Linked DNA regions of Saccharomyces cerevisiae S288C. The gene in region 1 interacts genetically with each later gene. Each region holds a gene or a part of one and is shown in the gene's direction. Other genes may lie near its edges.

Region 1 (4,674 bases):
AGACTAGATCATGAGGGATTCCTAATAATTCACCTAGATGCCTGACTTCGTCTTTGAACAGTTCTCTCAATGGTTCAATTAGCTTTAATTTCATGTTCTCTAGTAAACCACCGACGTTGTGATGAGTTTTAATGGTTTGAGAAGGACCTTTGAAAGAAATGGATTCGATGACATCTGGATAAAGAGTACCTTGTAACAGGAATTGAATCTCCTTACCATCTTTTGGCTTAATTTTTTCAGCTTCTCTTTCAAAGACGTGGATAAATGTGTTACCAATAATCTTTCTCTTCTTTTCTGGGTCAGTGACACCCTTCAATTTACTTAAAAATTCTTCGGAAGCATCGACAACCATCAAGTTGATACCTAAACCTTCGACAAGGGTCTTTTTAACGTTAGCAGCTTCATTTAATCTCAAAACACCGTTATCGACCAAGATGGCATGGAATCTATCACCGATGGCTTCTGTCATCAATTTGGATGCAACAGTAGAATCAACACCACCGGAAACAGCACCAATGACTTCAGCAGTTGGACCGACCAGTTTTCTGATTCTGTTTATTTCAGTGTCGATAAAGTTTTCCATAGTCCAGTTTTGCTTAGCGTGACACAAATCAACGGCGAAGTTTTTCAAAAGAGTCTTACCTTGGGTAGAATGTGTAACTTCTGGGTGGAATTGAATACCATAGATTGGCTTAGTTTCGTGGACAATACCACAGTATGGGGAGTTATCGGAGGTGGCAATGGTCTTGTAACCAGTTGGCAAGCCGTGCAATTTATCACCGTGAGACATCCAGACAGTAGAGTCGTTCATACCTTTGAATAGAGAGTTGGAATCGTCAATCACCTTCAAAGTGGCAGGACCGTACTCTCTCTTGTCACCACGACCAACTTGTTTACCATTAATCCAAGCCAATTCTTGCATACCGTAACAGATACCCAGGATTGGAACGTTCAAATCAAAGATAGCATGGTCTACGTGTGGAGCGTCTTCAGCGTATACGGAATATGGACCACCAGAAAGAATGACACCCTTTGGAGTCCAGCCCAACTCAGAGATCTTCTGAGTGCATGGCAACATCTCAGCATAGATGTTAAACTCTCTTAATCTTCTGGTAATCAAATGAGAGTATTGAGAACCAAAGTCTAACACTAAGATAGTGTCAAACATGTTAGAAACTTGTTCACCGGCAGCCATTGTGAATATTGATGTCGTTAGTTTATTTTAGAATATAGATATTACCTACCAAATGACCCAGGGAAGTTAAACTACAACGAACGCAAGCTAATTAGAGACTACCGTGACCGAAACTATAACTCAACTAATGTTTTATAACTGTGAAATGAAAATGAAACTGAAAAAATGATAAAAAAAAGAAATATTTTTTCTCGATGCTCATCGCCAAAGAAAAAAAAAATTTTCATTTCCTGCAAGCAAGAAAAAGAAATGACGGCATGAAAAGAGTCAAAATGTCGGGAACCGAAGCCATTGTAGGGGAGCGAGAGGATGAAAGCATATTCCTGTCACCAACGTCACGAAGAAATGAGTCGGCTACTTGACAACCTTGTTTTTTCGCTGTTAAACATAATTAAAGGTTCTATTTGGCAACACCTCATAATTATATCACTATCCACGTGATATTAAATCGTTACGGACGAGCCTATATTATTTCCGGATTTTTTTCTAATTTCTTTTTCTATTTTTCTAAATCTTATCGTCGTTATTTATTTGAAAGAGAATAAACAATGAGTGTGGGCTATGAAAGAGCTATAGAGAAGTCACAGGATATAGAGGGATCTATTTGTAGCTGGCAAGTTAATAGAGATTGGAAAACTGATTCAAAATTGTTAGATCACCTGGCGCTGAGAAATAATTGTGTTTTTTGGTATAAATAGACACCCCCTTTTGAGGTTGAAGAGATAGAGTAAAGAAGAAGTGTAGACATTAATGGGTTCATCAATTAACTATCCTGGGTTTGTGACTAAAAGCGCTCATTTGGCTGACACTAGTACGGATGCGAGCATTTCATGTGAGGAAGCAACAAGCTCGCAGGAAGCGAAGAAGAATTTCTTTCAAAGGGATTATAACATGATGAAGAAGGCGCCTGCTCCAACGAAGTCTAAACTGTCTTTGGCCTTGCAGACTTCCAAGTCATCCTCTAGTGCCAACGGTACTGTACAAGAGGATACTTCCTCGAAGACAGAAGATTTTTCTACAAAGAGCATTAAGAAAAAACCAGATAGCGGCGTTGAATCGCATGTGTCCATCCAATCGGATTCGGGGCCACAATCAGACTCAGATTTGGATTCAGATTCCTCTATCTCATCATGTGACGAAAGGAACGAAGAGTCTTTGAAAGATTACAGGCCGGGTGGGTACCACCCTGCCTTTAAGGGCGAGCCCTATAAGGATGCACGCTACATTTTAGTAAGAAAGCTGGGATGGGGCCACTTCTCCACCGTTTGGTTGGCAAAGGATATGGTAAACAACACTCACGTTGCTATGAAGATTGTTCGGGGCGACAAAGTTTACACAGAAGCTGCTGAAGACGAAATTAAGCTTTTGCAAAGAGTGAATGACGCCGATAATACAAAGGAGGATTCCATGGGGGCTAATCATATTTTGAAATTGCTAGATCATTTCAACCATAAGGGCCCCAATGGCGTCCATGTGGTTATGGTATTTGAAGTCCTCGGCGAGAACTTACTGGCTTTGATAAAGAAGTATGAACATAGGGGCATTCCATTGATTTATGTCAAGCAAATATCGAAGCAGTTACTGCTTGGTCTTGATTACATGCATAGGCGGTGTGGTATTATACACACAGATATTAAACCAGAAAACGTGTTGATGGAGATTGGAGATGTTGAGGGTATCGTTCAAATGGTCGAGGCACTGGATAAACAGAAGAGAGAGGCAAAAAGGTTGCAGAGGCACGTTTCGCGGTCTTCTGATATTACCGCGAACGATAGCAGTGATGAGAAATGGGCAGAATGCCAAACAAGTATGCCCTGCGGCTCAAGCTCAAATTCCAAATCTCGTTCTATAGAGAAGGACTTGTCAAAAAGATGCTTTAGAAGACCTAGACGTCATACAATTATCACAGGGTCGCAACCATTACCTTCCCCAATTAGTTCATCAAATTTCTTTGAAATGAGGGCGCACTTTTGTGGTAGTAGTCACAATAGCTTTTCCTCCGTATCTGGGAATAGGAACATTCCATCTTCCATCAATAATAACAGTATTAATAATGGCATAGGCATTAAGAATAGCAACAATAGTTTCTTAAATTCAGTACCACATTCTGTGACCAGGATGTTCATAAATGAAGACAGTAATGATAACAACAATAATGATAATAGTAAAAATAAAAATAACAACAATAACAACAGTAACAACAATAATAACGAGGACATAATGAACACACCTTTGCATGAAGAGCAGCTGGCAGACTCTTTATCTACATTTGATATTTCCAATATATCACAAAGCTCCGATACAAATGGTCCATATATTTCTAATACTATGGATTCAAATTCAAACGTCAGTACCGATATCAACTCCCCAGAAAATTTGATTCAGATCAAGATTGCTGATTTAGGTAATGCTTGTTGGTATGACGAACATTACACGAATTCTATACAGACAAGAGAATACAGATCACCAGAGGTGTTACTAGGCGCCCCTTGGGGTTGTGGTGCAGATATATGGTCTACTGCTTGTCTAATTTTTGAATTGATTACCGGAGATTTTCTTTTCGAACCGGACGAAGGTCATTCCTACACTAAGGATGATGACCATATTGCACAAATCATCGAGTTATTGGGAGAATTACCATCATACCTTTTGAGGAACGGCAAATATACAAGAACTTTCTTCAATTCAAGAGGGCTTTTAAGAAATATCTCGAAATTGAAATTTTGGCCCTTAGAAGATGTTTTAACTGAAAAATATAAGTTTTCTAAGGACGAAGCCAAGGAAATATCTGATTTTTTGTCGCCTATGTTACAGCTAGACCCAAGGAAAAGAGCTGATGCAGGTGGCTTGGTTAACCATCCATGGCTCAAGGATACCTTGGGTATGGAAGAGATTCGGGTACCTGATAGAGAGTTGTACGGGAGTGGTTCCGATATCCCCGGATGGTTTGAAGAAGTCCGCGATCATAAAAGACATTGATTACCTTTATACCTTTATTTTGCCCTTGCCTTTTACTTTTTTTTCTGTTTAACCTCTTTTTTGCATACTTTAGTTCTCTGCTCAGTTGTTTATTTTTCAGTAGTTTTTTTGCAATTTTTTTTTTTTTTTTTACCAAAGTAAATTTGTAACACCTAGTATAATATTCTGAAGTAACAACAAAAGATTATGCTGATTCTCCTTTCTTTTATCTTTAGCGGTTTTTGAATCCATACTCGACATTTTTTGATTTTATTTTTTGCACCCAATGGTTGTCCTGGTGAAGGATGATGGGTGTGATACCTAAGCGTTTTTGATGAAAAGTTTACTATTTAAAAACATATAAATTGTTTTACATATGTTAAGATAAAAGAACACAAAAAAATAAAACGGTTGAAAACGAAAACAAGTCCATGGATGTTTCAAAAAAATACATGAGCAGCTCAGAGTAGAGCAGAAATCAGACCTGCAAATAATGCAAGGTATCCAGACTGACTAAAGGA
Region 2 (3,458 bases), on another chromosome or scaffold:
ATTAAGAAATCTAGGGAAACAAGAGCAGCTAGGACACGGGTAGATGAAATTCTTTGGCTATTATATCAAGAAGTATATTGTCAATTCTCCACCGCTCTTGACAAAAAATTTAAAATGATTATGGCTATGACGATGTTTTGTTTGTATAAATTCGACATTGAAAGTGAACAATATAAAGAGGCAGTTCTAACTATGATTGGAGTTCTCTCTGAAAGTAGCGATGGCGTACCAAAACTAACCGTAGATACAAATAATGATTTGCGGTACTTATGGGACTATGTTACAACCAAATCGTATATATCTGCGTTGAACTGGTTCAAAAATGAGTTTTTTGTTGATGAGTGGAATATCGCGGATGTGGTAGCCAATTCCGAGAACAACTATTTTACAATGGCAAGCGAGCGAGATGTTGATGGCACATTCAAATTAATCGAATTGGCGAAAGCCTCGAAGGAATCGTTAAAAATCATCCCGCTAGGGTCTATAGAAAATCTAAACTATGCTCAAGAGGAAATATCAAAATCTAAGATAGAAGGTGGTTGGATATTATTACAAAACATACAAATGTCGCTATCATGGGTGAAAACGTATCTGCACAAGCATGTTGAGGAGACAAAGGCGGCAGAAGAACATGAGAAATTCAAAATGTTCATGACATGCCATTTGACTGGTGATAAACTACCTGCCCCATTGCTACAAAGAACTGATAGATTTGTGTATGAGGATATCCCAGGTATACTAGATACCGTCAAAGATCTATGGGGTTCTCAATTTTTCACTGGTAAAATTTCAGGAGTATGGAGCGTGTATTGTACCTTCCTATTGTCATGGTTTCATGCCTTGATCACTGCCAGGACCCGATTGGTTCCTCATGGGTTTTCCAAGAAGTATTACTTTAATGATTGCGACTTTCAATTTGCCTCAGTGTATTTAGAGAATGTATTAGCCACCAATTCTACCAACAACATTCCTTGGGCACAAGTGCGAGATCACATAGCTACGATCGTATACGGAGGAAAGATCGATGAAGAGAAAGACCTTGAAGTGGTCGCTAAACTTTGTGCGCACGTATTCTGCGGCTCGGACAATTTGCAGATCGTTCCTGGGGTACGAATCCCACAGCCTCTTCTTCAACAAAGTGAAGAAGAGGAACGGGCAAGGCTTACTGCCATACTGTCTAATACGATTGAGCCTGCAGATTCACTCAGTTCATGGCTTCAATTGCCAAGGGAATCTATTTTGAATTACGAACGTCTTCAGGCTAAAGAGGTGGCTAGCTCAACTGAACAACTTCTTCAAGAAATGTAGCCTTTTCAGGTACGCGTGTCTTGCTTGTCCGCGGTTTTCTCAGTGGACGTGCCTATTCTGGGTTCCTCTTGTTTGATGAGACTCTGATATCTACAATCCAAAAAAATCGGTTGTAGGAAGATGGCGTGCTTCTAATTAAAGTAACGTGGGGACTCTTATTTAGATACTTCCTAACTACGAGCACGTACGTCTAGAATTCATGTTATATAACATAATGATTTTTCCTTATTTTCTTAGTTTTTATCAGCCTTGCCTTGGCTTCCTTCTCAACATCTAGTTGAATTGATAACATGACAAAAAGAAGTTAGGCAGTGGTAGTCTTCAAAAAAATATACAAAATAGCAAGCCTGTAAAAGAATTTAATTATGACCATTATTCAGACGGTTACTGAATTGGGTGTTACCGAGGACACCATTAAGGTTCAGATGGCTCCTTCCGGCGGCAAACACCTATTGGCAGATCCCGGTAATCATCCAGCGGAGCATTTTGAGAGCCAGATGTCGTGGCTAAGGTTTCAAACAAGGCAGTATCTAACTAGATTCACAGACAACCAATCAGATTTCGTACATTCTTTACAAAAAAAGCACAGAACGCCTTTTAGAGACGTTTATTTCAAATACACTTCGCTTATGGGTTCCCACATGTTTTATGTTATCGTGCTTCCCATGCCTGTGTGGCTTGGATACCGCGATTTAACACGGGACATGATCTACGTTCTTGGTTATTCAATTTATTTGAGTGGCTACTTAAAGGATTATTGGTGCCTACCAAGGCCAAAATCACCGCCAGTTGACAGAATCACACTAAGTGAATACACTACGAAAGAATATGGTGCACCCAGTTCACATTCTGCTAACGCTACTGCGGTAAGTCTATTATTCTTTTGGAGAATATGTTTATCTGACACACTGGTATGGCCAACAAAGCTTCTTTTACTGAGTCTGGTGATATTTTACTACTTAACCCTGGTTTTTGGTAGAGTTTACTGCGGTATGCATGGTATGCTGGATTTATTTAGCGGCGCCGCAGTTGGAGCTATCTGTTTTTTTATAAGAATCTGGGTGGTGCATGCTTTACGAAATTTCCAGATTGGTGAACATCTCTGGTTTCCCCTTTTGAGTGTAGCATGGGGCTTGTTTATTCTGTTTAACCACGTCAGGCCCATTGATGAATGTCCTTGTTTCGAAGATAGCGTAGCGTTCATTGGCGTAGTCAGTGGGCTGGATTGCAGCGACTGGTTAACCGAAAGATACGGATGGAACCTTGTATGTAGTAGGTACGCATCATGTGGTTCTAAGGTGTTCTTGAGGCCTCTGGTAGGTGTCGCTTCTGTGATTGTTTGGAAAGACGTCATTAGCAAGACAGCTGTCTACACGCTGTTAATTAAACTACTCAGATTTCACGATGATAGAAGCGAAAAGGTTCATTTCCATAACGAGACAAGTGAAGAAGAAGAGTGTTTATTGTACAGCGGTGTTTCCAAAGTGGAAATCGTCGGAAGGTTTCTCATATACGCAGGTATACCTACAACCGTCTTTTTGCTATGCCCAGTTTTTTTCACTTGGACAAACTTAAGGTAGACTCTCGTATGTATGCATTTAGTGACTTATACATATATATTGTATCTACATAACACATCATTGAAATTCACCCCGATGAGTACATATTTGGAATTCAGCATTTTTTTTTTCTCGCTTTTGATAGCCAGCCCATCTATGGTGCTTACTAATGTATAGAGAGGATATAACAATGAAAAATCAAGATTTCAGGCATGAGTCAAGACTTTAGCTCTTTTATATACCTTCAGGATGTTCGTACCATGCGTCGCAGGCCCTAGATCGGCGTTTTGGGTTTTACACATGCATGTTTGCCGTGGTTCACCCTCTTTTAACCCACAGGAATCGCTACTTTGACACCCCCGATCGTGTCTCTTTTCGGTATTTTGGCACCCTTTCTTGAATGAGAGCATGGCGAAGACTGAAAGGCAAGAACACCCTGCTATCTTTTGCCTACCATTGGCGAACGTCATCTTATCTAAGTAGTAAGCTGTATATAAAGATATTTGGAGGTTTTATTGGAATCTCATAGAATTTTCACTTTATCAGAGGTTTATTGACGAAGACTTTCGTGAGAAGTACAAAGTGAAGAAG
Region 3 (3,522 bases), on another chromosome or scaffold:
CATGCAGGGAAGCCTTGAATATGCTGACGCAATCAACCGTTACTTAAATAACAATTTTACGCAGCACCTAAAAATCAGCAATGAAGGGAGCAAACCGACCATACGTCTCTACCCTCCTCCCAGTACAAAAGATCTAGATCAAGGCACAAATGCCTTTATATCATATAATGGTCACCAGGATGATCCCAACAATAGTATTGTGTATTTTATTCAGACTGCACAAAGAGATGACATCAAAAATCTGACACTAACCTTTCTTACCGAATATCTATTTTCACTAACGCTAGTGCCTGATCTAAGAAATAAAAAGCAAATTGGGTACATTGTTTTGGGAGGACTCAGGGTTTTAACAGACACTGTTGGGATTCATATAACCGTAATGTCTGGCAGCTCGGGGCACAATCTGGAAACTAGGATCAATGAGTACTTATCTTACTTGCAGCTGCAGGTGCTAAATAGATTCACCGAGTTTGATTTTCGAAGGATACTTCTAGAGCCGTTCTTAAATCTTTTAAAACAGAACAGTACGAAACAGTTTGAAGGGTCGGCTGGTCCTGTAGACCTATTAAATGAGATAGTGGCAAATGTGCAAAATGGTGATAATTACACTCTCAACAATAAACAAATGAGACAACATAGGAAGGTAAGAAATAAAATTGCGGAAGGAAGGCTTAATTTTCAAGAAGATCATGAAATGATTGATATCTCATTTTTGCAAAAATTAACTCTAAAGAAATATTTAGCATTCTTCGAGTCCAAAATCTCTATATATTCCGCTCAAAGAAGTAAGCTATCAATAATGATCACAAGTCCAATGGCAGAGAAGGAAATTGCAAGCAGGAAAATGTTCCTTCAGCTAGAGGCCTTTCTGAAAATAAACGGATTCGCCATAAAAAATGAAGACTTGAAGAAAATTGTCGAACATTCAAAGGGAAATCCTATTTTACTTGTAAAGAACCTTTTTACTTATTTTCGTAGGAGAAATGAAGTTTTCAAGCTCGGAACCGTTGTATTGCAGGAAATATTGAAAATCATCGGAATGAATCTTAAGCAGAGATACGGCTCTATATTAGGGTTTTCTTCCCAAGATGGTGAAGGACAAGAAATAGAAAAATTTTGGAACAACGACACAAGTCCGATTGTTCCTCTTCAGGAGCTTCCTGAACCAAACTTTTTCCGCAAGGCCGCATTTTGAACCGTATTTTGCTCGTTCCAGCCTTTCCACGTTTTTGTTATCTAAGCAACTTGGCACATTTCCCTACTATACTACAAACCGATACGTAAATACTTCCCTAAATAGCATATGAATTATTCAGTAATTTTTAAGGATCGAAACTGCACCTCAACTATTCGTTACTGTGGTTATGTTCTCATGTATTGATGCAAATCATGGGATATTTGCTCAAGACGACGGTAAAATGAGCAAAAATGGCACGATCCTGAAAAGAGCACTTTTCAAGATTCGGGCTACAAAATGCAACATAAAAAATGTTGTATTGTCATCTCGAGAGGGTCTTGTATGTTTTATTCCTCTTATGATTAGTTCACATTAGTAAAACAGATACGCAGTGTGCTCTTAATAAACAACTACTCCATAGCTTTATTTGCATAACAAAACTTTTAAGCACAAACTTAAACAGGTGGAGTAATAGTTCGGCGGCGACTCAAATTACATTTGTTGGAAGAATCGAATAGAAAATAAAAAAAAGTGTATTATATTTGACATTCAAAATGGAAGGTATGAATATGGGTAGCAGCATGAATATGGACGCCATGTCTAGTGCATCCAAGACAGTAGCATCGAGTATGGCGTCGATGAGCATGGATGCGATGTCTAGTGCCAGCAAAACGATATTATCGAGCATGTCATCGATGAGCATGGAAGCGATGTCCAGTGCGAGCAAAACGTTGGCGTCGACTATGTCGTCAATGGCAAGTATGTCGATGGGAAGCAGTTCAATGTCAGGTATGTCTATGTCGATGAGCAGTACACCAACAAGCTCCGCCAGTGCACAGACAACTTCTGATTCTAGCATGTCAGGCATGTCAGGTATGTCATCGTCTGATAACAGTAGCTCTTCAGGGATGGATATGGACATGAGTATGGGAATGAACTATTATCTGACTCCCACATATAAAAACTATCCAGTTTTGTTTCACCATTTGCATGCAAACAATAGTGGTAAGGCTTTCGGTATTTTCTTATTATTTGTTGTGGCTGCTTTCGTCTACAAACTACTGCTTTTCGTTAGTTGGTGCCTTGAAGTTCACTGGTTTAAAAAATGGGACAAGCAAAATAAATATTCCACTTTACCTTCAGCAAACTCCAAAGACGAAGGAAAACATTATGACACAGAGAATAATTTTGAAATTCAAGGTTTACCTAAGCTGCCAAATTTATTAAGCGATATATTTGTTCCATCTTTAATGGATCTCTTTCATGACATTATAAGGGCGTTCTTAGTATTTACCTCTACGATGATTATTTATATGTTGATGCTTGCTACCATGTCTTTTGTTTTAACATACGTTTTTGCTGTAATTACTGGGTTAGCTTTATCGGAAGTCTTCTTCAATAGATGCAAAATAGCCATGCTAAAGAGGTGGGACATCCAAAGAGAAATTCAGAAAGCGAAGAGCTGTCCTGGCTTCGGTAACTGCCAATGTGGTAGACATCCCGAACCCAGCCCTGATCCAATTGCTGTTGCCGATACCACTTCCGGAAGTGATCAAAGTACTCGCCTGGAAAAGAACAACGAATCTAAAGTTGCGATTTCCGAAAATAATCAAAAGAAAACACCTACACAAGAAGAGGGATGTAATTGTGCCACAGACTCAGGAAAGAATCAAGCAAACATAGAGCGCGACATCCTTGAGAATTCCAAGTTGCAGGAACAGTCCGGGAATATGGATCAAAACTTACTTCCGGCCGAAAAATTCACTCATAACTAATAACTAGACAAGGTTCGTCCACCTATATCTTCTTCTTCCAATATCTCTATACATCAAAATAAGAATATCGTTCATTTCTCAGAAGCTCAAAAAAAATCTCAAAATGGATACTTCTAATGCCCTCATGAAGAGGAAAGAAAATAATAGACACAGCGACCTTCCTATAAATAACAGACTTGTATATAGTTGAATGTCTAAGTAATTTTAATTCAAAAATCCTTAACTATATTACCACCTTGCAATAATAAGAGTGAAGTGTTAAAAATGATACTTGCTTGCCTTCATCGAGTTACCGTTGTCTCCCACGTTTCTTTTTTCTCGTTGGACAGAATTGCTTCCGCGCGAACATTTTCCACTTTTATTTGAAAGAGGACATTATTCAGATCGTGTCAGTCTCATCTAATTGGCAAAGTGGCAATTTTCGAAATAACAAGATAACTGCATAAAGTAACACTTGTCGAATTGAAAGTATTTTGCCAGTGATATTTAGGTTCGAGTAAAGAAAATTTCATAAAGAAATCAACAAGACACAATGCTGAAATACAGGTCTTTGCCAATCAAGAGAGCAAT

The links. A genetic interaction does not mean that the proteins touch.
Region 2: mutations in SKY1 (region 1) and YSR3 together harm fitness more than expected from each alone (negative genetic interaction), as found in Saccharomyces cerevisiae (2 studies listed by BioGRID).
Region 3: mutations in SKY1 (region 1) and CTR1 together harm fitness more than expected from each alone (negative genetic interaction), as found in Saccharomyces cerevisiae (2 studies listed by BioGRID).

Annotation. Positions count from the first base shown.
Region 1 is NC_001145.3:698,311-702,984, reverse strand, and holds SKY1 (serine/threonine protein kinase SKY1), read left to right. Parts: upstream 1-1,945; coding exon 1,946-4,174; downstream 4,175-4,674. Other genes in the region: GUA1 (GMP synthase (glutamine-hydrolyzing)), read right to left, coding at 1-1,195; GAS3 (putative 1,3-beta-glucanosyltransferase), read right to left, coding at 4,615-4,674. UniProt on the Saccharomyces cerevisiae protein: Constitutively active kinase, specifically and sequentially phosphorylates serine/arginine (SR)-type shuttling mRNA binding proteins in their RS dipeptide repeats.
Region 2 is NC_001143.9:533,497-536,954, reverse strand, and holds YSR3 (sphinganine kinase YSR3), read left to right. Parts: upstream 1-1,673; coding exon 1,674-2,888; downstream 2,889-3,458. Other genes in the region: DYN1 (dynein heavy chain), read left to right, coding at 1-1,308. UniProt on the Saccharomyces cerevisiae protein: Dihydrosphingosine 1-phosphate phosphatase required for efficient ceramide synthesis from exogenous sphingoid bases. Involved in endocytosis and calcium-mediated signaling.
Region 3 is NC_001148.4:784,477-787,998, forward strand, and holds CTR1 (high-affinity Cu transporter CTR1), read left to right. Parts: upstream 1-1,731; coding exon 1,732-2,952; downstream 2,953-3,522. Other genes in the region: AXL1 (Axl1p), read left to right, coding at 1-1,195; YLH47 (Ylh47p), read left to right, coding at 3,485-3,522. UniProt on the Saccharomyces cerevisiae protein: High-affinity copper transporter of plasma membrane that mediates copper uptake under low copper conditions.